3 linked regions of the Saccharomyces cerevisiae S288C genome follow. The gene in region 1 interacts genetically with each later gene. Each region holds a gene or a part of one and is shown in the gene's direction. Other genes may lie near its edges.

What was found.
Region 2: of VLD1 (region 1) and TDH3, changing one enhances a phenotype caused by changing the other (phenotypic enhancement), as found in Saccharomyces cerevisiae (2 studies listed by BioGRID).
Region 3: mutations in VLD1 (region 1) and GLC7 are lethal when combined (synthetic lethality), as found in Saccharomyces cerevisiae (one study listed by BioGRID).

The regions. Positions count from the first base shown.
Region 1 is NC_001141.2:379,206-382,314, forward strand, and holds VLD1 (Vld1p), read left to right. Parts: upstream 1-1,880; coding exon 1,881-2,609; downstream 2,610-3,109. Other genes in the region: SQT1 (Sqt1p), read left to right, coding at 1-576; GAT4 (Gat4p), read right to left, coding at 814-1,179; ribonuclease P protein subunit RPR2, read left to right, coding at 2,743-3,109. UniProt on the Saccharomyces cerevisiae protein: Component of the vacuole-localized DSC E3 ubiquitin ligase complex involved in the targeting of the complex to the vacuole membrane via the AP3 pathway to ubiquinate vacuolar membrane proteins.
Region 2 is NC_001139.9:882,302-885,878, reverse strand, and holds TDH3 (glyceraldehyde-3-phosphate dehydrogenase (phosphorylating) TDH3), read left to right. Parts: upstream 1-2,068; coding exon 2,069-3,067; downstream 3,068-3,577. Other genes in the region: PDX1 (Pdx1p), read left to right, coding at 138-1,370. UniProt on the Saccharomyces cerevisiae protein: Glyceraldehyde-3-phosphate dehydrogenase (GAPDH) involved in glycolysis and gluconeogenesis. Catalyzes the reaction of glyceraldehyde-3-phosphate to 1,3 bis-phosphoglycerate.
Region 3 is NC_001137.3:430,693-434,608, forward strand, and holds GLC7 (type 1 serine/threonine-protein phosphatase catalytic subunit GLC7), read left to right. Parts: upstream 1-1,802; coding exon 1,803-1,979; intron 1,980-2,504; coding exon 2,505-3,266; downstream 3,267-3,916.

The DNA.
Region 1 (3,109 bases):
TTATTTAAGATCACACAGGCAGAAATCAAGGGATTAGAAGCTCCATGGATTTCCCTATCATTAGCTCCGGAAACTTTGACCAAGGGTAACTCGGGTGTCGTGGCATGTGGGTCCAACAATGGTCTTCTGGCAGTAATTAATTGTAACAATGGCGGTGCGATTTTACATTTATCTACAGTGATTGAACTAAAGCCAGAACAAGACGAATTAGATGCCTCCATTGAATCCATTTCTTGGTCATCCAAATTCTCCCTTATGGCCATTGGCCTTGTCTGCGGTGAAATACTCTTATATGATACAAGTGCATGGAGAGTAAGACACAAGTTTGTTCTCGAAGATTCTGTTACAAAACTTATGTTTGATAATGATGACTTATTCGCATCGTGTATCAATGGTAAGGTTTACCAGTTTAATGCAAGAACTGGCCAAGAGAAGTTTGTTTGTGTGGGCCATAATATGGGGGTTCTTGATTTTATATTACTGCATCCTGTGGCAAATACCGGCACCGAGCAGAAGAGAAAAGTAATAACTGCAGGTGATGAAGGTGTATCTCTGGTGTTCGAGGTACCAAACTGATAGATAGTCGCGTATACATAAATAACAAAAAAACAAATTCAATAACATAAAATAAAAATACTTTTACATACAGAAGAAGAAACTTTATATATTCGACAAAGGAAAATGTAAAAAAAAAAAACACATTATTTTAAAAGAACTGCGCTCATTATCGTCGTTAACGATTTTATTATTACATGTTGAACGTTACATTGTCTTTTTGTCCCGATAGGTTGAAAGCTGAAAAAGTATAATGGGTCAGAATCTGACAGTTCCGGTAAGTTCTTTGGGGATCCTTCTCTTAGTCCCGGTACCTTTAATTTGCTCCATGTATCTTTTAGCAGCTGCTCTACCGAAGCGCAGAATCAATTTTCTAAAAAACAACCCACAAGCATTACACAGGCAAGCAGCACCGTTAGGGCCCTCCCTCCATTGTAATGAAGTCTTAATCTCTCCACATTGCCCACATGTCCTAGTAATGCCCGTTCTTGGTCGAGCAGGCTGAGAGTCAGCGTTCCTAGGGAGGCCATGTTGTGCCTCTGATCCGCTATTCAACAGCAATTGAACGGGGACTTTTTTGAAGGCTGTTCCGTTTGAAATCACAATAGGCAACTTAGTGGACATAGCGACCCTGTAATGTTATGTTTCTAGCTAGGAACAGAAAGTGCCAGCTTTTTGAGCAGTTAAAGAGTAAAATGTTTATGTGGTTTCACGGACTTACATGTGAAAGACTAGCCTGGCGCTATCTAAATTCATGATGAAACTCGATGGCCCTTTCCATGGCACAAAAATCTTGACACATGGATGTGCGCGGCGGCGGTAACCGCACCAAGGAAAAAAGGGTCCAATGCCAAGAAATAATAAAACGGACCCTTTTTTCTTTTTTTTTGAAATAAAATTGAAAGAGAAATGCAAACACTTTTCAGGTTTGAAAAGAAAAGAAAACGTCAAGAATCTTACGCCAAAAGTGCCTAAGATTCAAGTATCTCTGAAAGGCGTACCATTTTCAACAAGGGGCATAGGTGGCCGCAAACTAGGATAATTGACAACTTAGTTTCATATTGACAATGTCATCGCAATTGAGGAGATAGCCATAATTCGGGAGGGTACAAAACCTGACCTGCTAGTGTTCAACTAATGCATCATGGGTACTATAGAGAGCATTCTAGTGGTAGAAAAAAAAAAAAAAACAAACTTTAAACCGGGTAATATAAACTTCTCATATGGCTTTTCTCCAGGGAAAGAAAGGGAAGGGATACTTCAATGACGAAGGCTTAGATGACAAGCTAATACAGAAAGGGAAAGGAGCAGGGCATCGGAAGGAAATGTTGCATTTGGAAGATGACAATGGACGACAAAGGTCAGTGATAGCGAATTTGCAGAAATTCGTTTATTGCTGCCTGTACTTGAGGTTTATCAAAGATGGATCATTATTCTTGATCCTCCTGGGGTGGATAATTTCATCGCTCTGTGATTTCATTCAGGAATTGACACTCAGGTACCTGAAGAAGAACTATTTAGAGGTGGGCCGCGACAATGATCAGGAAGATGATGAAAGTCTTGCCATCAGAGGGTTAGAAACACCTATTGTAAGAATGATAATAAACAAAGCCATACGATATTACCAAGGCCTAATACTTCTAGAAACAGCGTACTGTATAGTATACCACATTAGGCTAGACGTATCGAGAGACATATGTTCCAAACCGTACGGATTTGTGATAATGCTTTTGATAAGGGAATTTACTTGTCCGGTACCCACAGCGTTTCCTAGCAAGCTACTTCTGGTACTACTCGATATTTTATTACTTTTCTGCCAGATTGTAATAATAAACGGCTCACTGAGCTCGAGTCTTCAGAACGTGAAACTTATTGTCAAGGAGTTGAATGCAGAAGAAGAGGGCGCACTCAACATTCTCAAACTTAATACCTGGCACATGGATGCAACCGGACCGGAACTCATAGTACTCAAGAATCATGACAAGTCGATTCCTCAACAGGCAGACGGGGATGACGCTACAGAGATCACTCCTCTACTGAATATCGCCGAATAAATTCAAGAAAGGAAAAGAAAAAAAATTACCAAAATGAAAAGAACGGAAAAAAAAGATGAACAGAAAATAAAACAATACGTGGTTCTTCTACTGTCCTTCCCACATCGCCGACAGAGAAAAGACAAGCAAAAAGATGGGCAAGAAAGCACACGGAGGAAAGATGAAACCTGAGATCGACGAAAATGGTACTCTGCTAGTACCGCCACCAAGGACGATTGCGAACCAGGACCATTTCCATAGATTAAACTACCTCTACCAAATATCCGCTTACCAAACAAGAGCAAGACAGAAAGCAAGAACAGACGCACATACGCCTTTGGCACGCAATTATATCAAATCAATGGACCTAATTAGTAAGAAAACCAAGACATCACTGCTTCCTACGATAAAGAGAACAATTTGTAAAAAATGCCATCGGTTGTTATGGACCCCAAAAAAACTGGAAATCACATCCGACGGAGCGCTTTCGGTAATGTGTGGGTGCGGTACCGTTAAACGTT
Region 2 (3,577 bases), on another chromosome or scaffold:
AGTAAAAAACAATTTATGAAAGGGTGAGCGACCAGCAACGAGAGAGACAAATCAAATTAGCGCTTTCCAGTGAGAATATAAGAGAGCATTGAAAGAGCTAGGTTATTGTTAAATCATCTCGAGGGAAAAATTCAAAAATGCTAAGTGCAATTTCCAAAGTCTCCACTTTAAAATCATGTACAAGATATTTAACCAAATGCAACTATCATGCATCAGCTAAATTACTTGCTGTAAAGACATTTTCAATGCCTGCAATGTCTCCTACTATGGAGAAAGGGGGGATTGTGTCTTGGAAATATAAAGTTGGCGAACCATTCAGCGCGGGCGATGTGATATTAGAAGTGGAAACAGATAAATCTCAAATTGATGTGGAAGCACTGGACGATGGTAAACTAGCTAAGATCCTGAAAGATGAAGGCTCTAAAGATGTTGATGTTGGTGAACCTATTGCTTATATTGCTGATGTTGATGATGATTTAGCTACTATAAAGTTACCCCAAGAGGCCAACACCGCAAATGCGAAATCTATTGAAATTAAGAAGCCATCCGCAGATAGTACTGAAGCAACACAACAACATTTAAAAAAAGCCACAGTTACACCAATAAAAACCGTTGACGGCAGCCAAGCCAATCTTGAACAGACGCTATTACCATCCGTGTCATTACTACTGGCTGAGAACAATATATCCAAACAAAAGGCTTTGAAGGAAATTGCGCCATCTGGTTCCAACGGTAGACTATTAAAGGGTGATGTGCTAGCATACCTAGGGAAAATACCACAAGATTCGGTTAACAAGGTAACAGAATTTATCAAGAAGAACGAACGTCTCGATTTATCGAACATTAAACCTATACAGCTCAAACCAAAAATAGCCGAGCAAGCTCAAACAAAAGCTGCCGACAAGCCAAAGATTACTCCTGTAGAATTTGAAGAGCAATTAGTGTTCCATGCTCCCGCCTCTATTCCGTTTGACAAACTGAGTGAATCATTGAACTCTTTCATGAAAGAAGCTTACCAGTTCTCACACGGAACACCACTAATGGACACAAATTCGAAATACTTTGACCCTATTTTCGAGGACCTTGTCACCTTGAGCCCAAGAGAGCCAAGATTTAAATTTTCCTATGACTTGATGCAAATTCCCAAAGCTAATAACATGCAAGACACGTACGGTCAAGAAGACATATTTGACCTCTTAACAGGTTCAGACGCGACTGCCTCATCAGTAAGACCCGTTGAAAAGAACTTACCTGAAAAAAACGAATATATACTAGCGTTGAATGTTAGCGTCAACAACAAGAAGTTTAATGACGCGGAGGCCAAGGCAAAAAGATTCCTTGATTACGTAAGGGAGTTAGAATCATTTTGAATAAAAAACACGCTTTTTCAGTTCGAGTTTATCATTATCAATACTGCCATTTCAAAGAATACGTAAATAATTAATAGTAGTGATTTTCCTAACTTTATTTAGTCAAAAAATTAGCCTTTTAATTCTGCTGTAACCCGTACATGCCCAAAATAGGGGGCGGGTTACACAGAATATATAACATCGTAGGTGTCTGGGTGAACAGTTTATTCCTGGCATCCACTAAATATAATGGAGCCCGCTTTTTAAGCTGGCATCCAGAAAAAAAAAGAATCCCAGCACCAAAATATTGTTTTCTTCACCAACCATCAGTTCATAGGTCCATTCTCTTAGCGCAACTACAGAGAACAGGGGCACAAACAGGCAAAAAACGGGCACAACCTCAATGGAGTGATGCAACCTGCCTGGAGTAAATGATGACACAAGGCAATTGACCCACGCATGTATCTATCTCATTTTCTTACACCTTCTATTACCTTCTGCTCTCTCTGATTTGGAAAAAGCTGAAAAAAAAGGTTGAAACCAGTTCCCTGAAATTATTCCCCTACTTGACTAATAAGTATATAAAGACGGTAGGTATTGATTGTAATTCTGTAAATCTATTTCTTAAACTTCTTAAATTCTACTTTTATAGTTAGTCTTTTTTTTAGTTTTAAAACACCAAGAACTTAGTTTCGAATAAACACACATAAACAAACAAAATGGTTAGAGTTGCTATTAACGGTTTCGGTAGAATCGGTAGATTGGTCATGAGAATTGCTTTGTCTAGACCAAACGTCGAAGTTGTTGCTTTGAACGACCCATTCATCACCAACGACTACGCTGCTTACATGTTCAAGTACGACTCCACTCACGGTAGATACGCTGGTGAAGTTTCCCACGATGACAAGCACATCATTGTCGATGGTAAGAAGATTGCTACTTACCAAGAAAGAGACCCAGCTAACTTGCCATGGGGTTCTTCCAACGTTGACATCGCCATTGACTCCACTGGTGTTTTCAAGGAATTAGACACTGCTCAAAAGCACATTGACGCTGGTGCCAAGAAGGTTGTTATCACTGCTCCATCTTCCACCGCCCCAATGTTCGTCATGGGTGTTAACGAAGAAAAATACACTTCTGACTTGAAGATTGTTTCCAACGCTTCTTGTACCACCAACTGTTTGGCTCCATTGGCCAAGGTTATCAACGATGCTTTCGGTATTGAAGAAGGTTTGATGACCACTGTCCACTCTTTGACTGCTACTCAAAAGACTGTTGACGGTCCATCCCACAAGGACTGGAGAGGTGGTAGAACCGCTTCCGGTAACATCATCCCATCCTCCACCGGTGCTGCTAAGGCTGTCGGTAAGGTCTTGCCAGAATTGCAAGGTAAGTTGACCGGTATGGCTTTCAGAGTCCCAACCGTCGATGTCTCCGTTGTTGACTTGACTGTCAAGTTGAACAAGGAAACCACCTACGATGAAATCAAGAAGGTTGTTAAGGCTGCCGCTGAAGGTAAGTTGAAGGGTGTTTTGGGTTACACCGAAGACGCTGTTGTCTCCTCTGACTTCTTGGGTGACTCTCACTCTTCCATCTTCGATGCTTCCGCTGGTATCCAATTGTCTCCAAAGTTCGTCAAGTTGGTCTCCTGGTACGACAACGAATACGGTTACTCTACCAGAGTTGTCGACTTGGTTGAACACGTTGCCAAGGCTTAAGTGAATTTACTTTAAATCTTGCATTTAAATAAATTTTCTTTTTATAGCTTTATGACTTAGTTTCAATTTATATACTATTTTAATGACATTTTCGATTCATTGATTGAAAGCTTTGTGTTTTTTCTTGATGCGCTATTGCATTGTTCTTGTCTTTTTCGCCACATGTAATATCTGTAGTAGATACCTGATACATTGTGGATGCTGAGTGAAATTTTAGTTAATAATGGAGGCGCTCTTAATAATTTTGGGGATATTGGCTTTTTTTTTTAAAGTTTACAAATGAATTTTTTCCGCCAGGATAACGATTCTGAAGTTACTCTTAGCGTTCCTATCGGTACAGCCATCAAATCATGCCTATAAATCATGCCTATATTTGCGTGCAGTCAGTATCATCTACATGAAAAAAACTCCCGCAATTTCTTATAGAATACGTTGAAAATTAAATGTACGCGCCAAGATAAGATAACATATATCTAGATGCAGTAATATACACAGATTCCCGCGGACGTG
Region 3 (3,916 bases), on another chromosome or scaffold:
CCAAACTTACTATCTTCTATTATCTAGGCTCAAGTAAGTAAGATGAAAAAAAGAAAAAGAAAAAAAAGCAGAAAAAAAGCAGAAAAAACAGTAAAGTGGGTGTGAGTGCACTGGAAAGCCTGTGTAATAAGTTTTTGATGTACTGTATTCCTTGCGAGTATTATCACAAAGCTCTACTGTGTTTGCACTGTGGGCGTATAGGGATATCGCGAGGGCAACGCAAAACTAGCAAGATACACATATTCCATACATTAAAGCGGTAATTTTTAGTAGTTAATTTCGAAATTTCAAACCCGGCAATGATACGCACATTAAGAAAAGGGAAAAAAAAAAGAATAAATTGGCCATAGAAAAATTCTGTTATCCACTAGACAGAAGTTTGCGTTCCATACTGTCAGAGGTGGCATTTTACATAACAATAGTGACAAAAAATAAATTTCAGAAGGAAGGCAACATAAGTTTTTCTAATCCTAAAATCTTTCGATTTTGTATCAGAGATTGTTCACGCTAATGTCATTCATCATAGTAGATCATTTATCTTTCACTGCGGAGAAGTTTCGAACGCCGAAACATGCGCACCAACTTTCACTTCTACAGCGTTTGACCAAAATCTTTTGAACAGAACATTGTAGGGTGTGAAAAAATGCGCACCTTTACCGCTAGCCCAAGAGGGCACTACAAAATCTAGAGTTGTACTTCAAACGTACATGTAATCACCTTGTATATACTCGAAAGAAAACATCAAGTTTCTGTATAAATATGAGTGAAAGCATAATCATACATTATCTTTTCAAAGATGAAGAGTGGGTGAATTTTGAGATAATTGTTGGGATTCCATTTTTAATAAGGCAATAATATTAGGTATGTAGAAAGTACTAGAAGTTCTCCTCGAGGATTTAGGAATCCATAAAAGGGAATCTGCAATTCTACACAATTCTATAAATATTATTATCATCATTTTATATGTTAATATTCATTGATCCTATTACATTATCAATCCTTGCGTTTCAGCTTCCACTAATTTAGATGACTATTTCTCATCATTTGCGTCATCTTCTAACACCGTATATGATAATATACTAGTAACGTAAATACTAGTTAGTAGATGATAGTTGATTTTTACTCCAACAAAAGAATTACAGTCAGTGGCTGTTTGCTGACATTTCATTGCTTCCCTTACAACCTGATTTCCATTCGAGTTGAAAGGTTGAGAAAAATTGCAAGACTTCTCTCTCATCTACCTTCCCCTTTTCTTGAAGACAAGGTGAGAGACAATTTAGTACTAAAGCTTTTGCGGTTGTTATTCAATTGAGGTAGATACCTGGCAAAACATTTCTTGTGAGCACAACCTCAATTAAAGTTAGACAAGTAGGTGCACTATTGGTTGCTTGTTGGCTCATCTCGTTGAGGAATGTAATAACTACTTGTTATTAACCTGTTTTTGTGCCATCTATAGTGGAGAGCTTATTGCAATTTGTTTTTTATTTCTTGACTGCATATATCAGTCTTTGACAGGCTGCATGGGGATGACAGTTAGAAACTAGCCAAATTACCCCTTATGTAGATAACAATCATTGCTTATTCGCTCTTCCCCCATTTTTTTTCTTGCTCTTGCTGTTTTTTCTTTTAGCGTTCGTTTCAAGGAACAAGAGAGGGAAAAAAAAATCAAAAGTAGAAAAGAAGAAGAAAAAAACAACGTAACACAAGTTAACACCACAACTGAAAAAAAAAATAAGAGGTGAACGAACGAGTAACTGGGGAGAGGAAAGCAGATTACCACAATATACATTCAAATTAAAGAAATGGACTCACAACCAGTTGACGTTGATAATATCATCGATAGATTATTGGAAGTAAGAGGATCTAAACCTGGTCAACAAGTTGATCTAGAAGAAAATGAAATCAGATACTTATGTTCGAAAGCCAGATCTATATTCATAAAGCAACCCATTTTACTAGAGTTAGAAGCCCCAATTAAAGTATGTTAATGTTGAACTTCGCAGTCAAGAGATAGAATGCCTAGAGCTTCAGGTGTTTTATGTGTTCTACTCCTGTTGCGGCAGTAAGATAGTTACAGCAGTTATTTCCGTTTGACTGAAAGAATTTACCAAGCATCTGATGTTAGCCTACTCATATGTCGAGATAGCCGAGATAATGTGTGTGTTTAGCTCTTCATTTTTCTATCTTATTAGGCATTTTTTTACCAAGATTTCCTTATGTTTTGTATCATCATCCGGCCGGCGCCTCCCATATTCAGAAAAATCCCCCTTGCTCACACTAAAAAAAGAAGGCATTTTTTCGTTATGAAGAAAACGAATCTTTTTTTTTTTTGAGCCCGAGAGAAAGGTCGGACGAAAACCAAGAAATGTGGATTTGCAGAAGGCATTGGGAGAAATGAAGCGTTTTTGACAGCAGTAATTGTTCTCTTAAAGTCAACGGAATGAGCTAGATTTAGTGACAAATTCATTTACTAACTTATTTTTTTCTATTTTTTTTTTTTTTAGATATGTGGTGACATTCATGGGCAATACTATGATTTACTACGTCTATTTGAGTACGGTGGATTCCCGCCAGAATCTAATTATCTATTTTTGGGTGATTATGTCGACCGTGGTAAACAATCCTTAGAGACTATTTGTCTATTACTGGCTTACAAAATTAAGTATCCAGAAAACTTTTTCATTTTAAGAGGGAACCATGAATGTGCTTCCATTAATAGAATTTACGGGTTTTATGATGAATGTAAGAGACGTTATAATATCAAACTTTGGAAAACTTTCACGGATTGTTTCAATTGTTTACCAATTGCTGCAATTATTGATGAGAAAATCTTCTGTATGCATGGTGGTCTCTCACCAGATTTGAATAGTATGGAACAGATCAGAAGGGTGATGAGGCCAACAGATATTCCCGACGTTGGCTTATTATGTGACTTATTGTGGTCAGATCCAGATAAAGATATCGTAGGTTGGAGTGAAAATGATAGAGGTGTTTCTTTCACTTTTGGTCCTGATGTAGTGAACAGATTTTTACAGAAACAAGATATGGAGTTGATTTGCAGGGCCCATCAAGTTGTGGAAGATGGTTATGAATTCTTTAGTAAAAGACAATTGGTGACACTTTTCAGTGCTCCGAATTATTGTGGTGAATTTGATAACGCTGGTGCAATGATGAGTGTTGATGAAAGTTTATTATGTTCTTTTCAAATTTTAAAGCCAGCCCAAAAAAGTCTACCAAGGCAAGCTGGGGGTAGAAAGAAAAAATAAATAGATTCACGTCCTAAATCAAAGTTTAAAAAGGAAAATACTTATTAACAAGAAGAGTAGTAGAAGAAAAATACAAGAAACATAAACGTAGAAAACTTTTAGTCAATTCTTTAAGCGAAGAATACGAAAGAAACATCAAGAAAACAAAGGAAGATGCAATCATCACTCGTCATATACACAAATAATTCCCTTTAGTGCAACAAACCGCGAAAAAGCATAAGAAACATAAAAAAAATATAAAAAAAAGGAGATAATAATAAGATGTGAAGGATTTGAATTAGTGGAAAAATGATAAGTCTACACTATTATTATTAACGAAATGCAATTTTTCTTTATTTTCTTTTATTACTATTATCATTACTATTATTATTAGTATTATTATTTTTTTACTTATTTTTATATTAAACTATGTTAAATTACTATATTATTATTTTGTCTAACTCTATATTGAGGCTGTCTTTCGTTGCACTGTTAAGAATGGTCACGTCTTCCTTTGGCTTTGAACCCTTTTATAAACAAGTTGGCCAAATCATTTAGTCAATCACGTCAACCTGTCTAAAATAAGACAGGTAAAAAAGAAAATGCCATCTCCTAGAATCGAACCAGGGTTTCATCGGCCACAACGATGTGTACTAACCACTATACTAAGA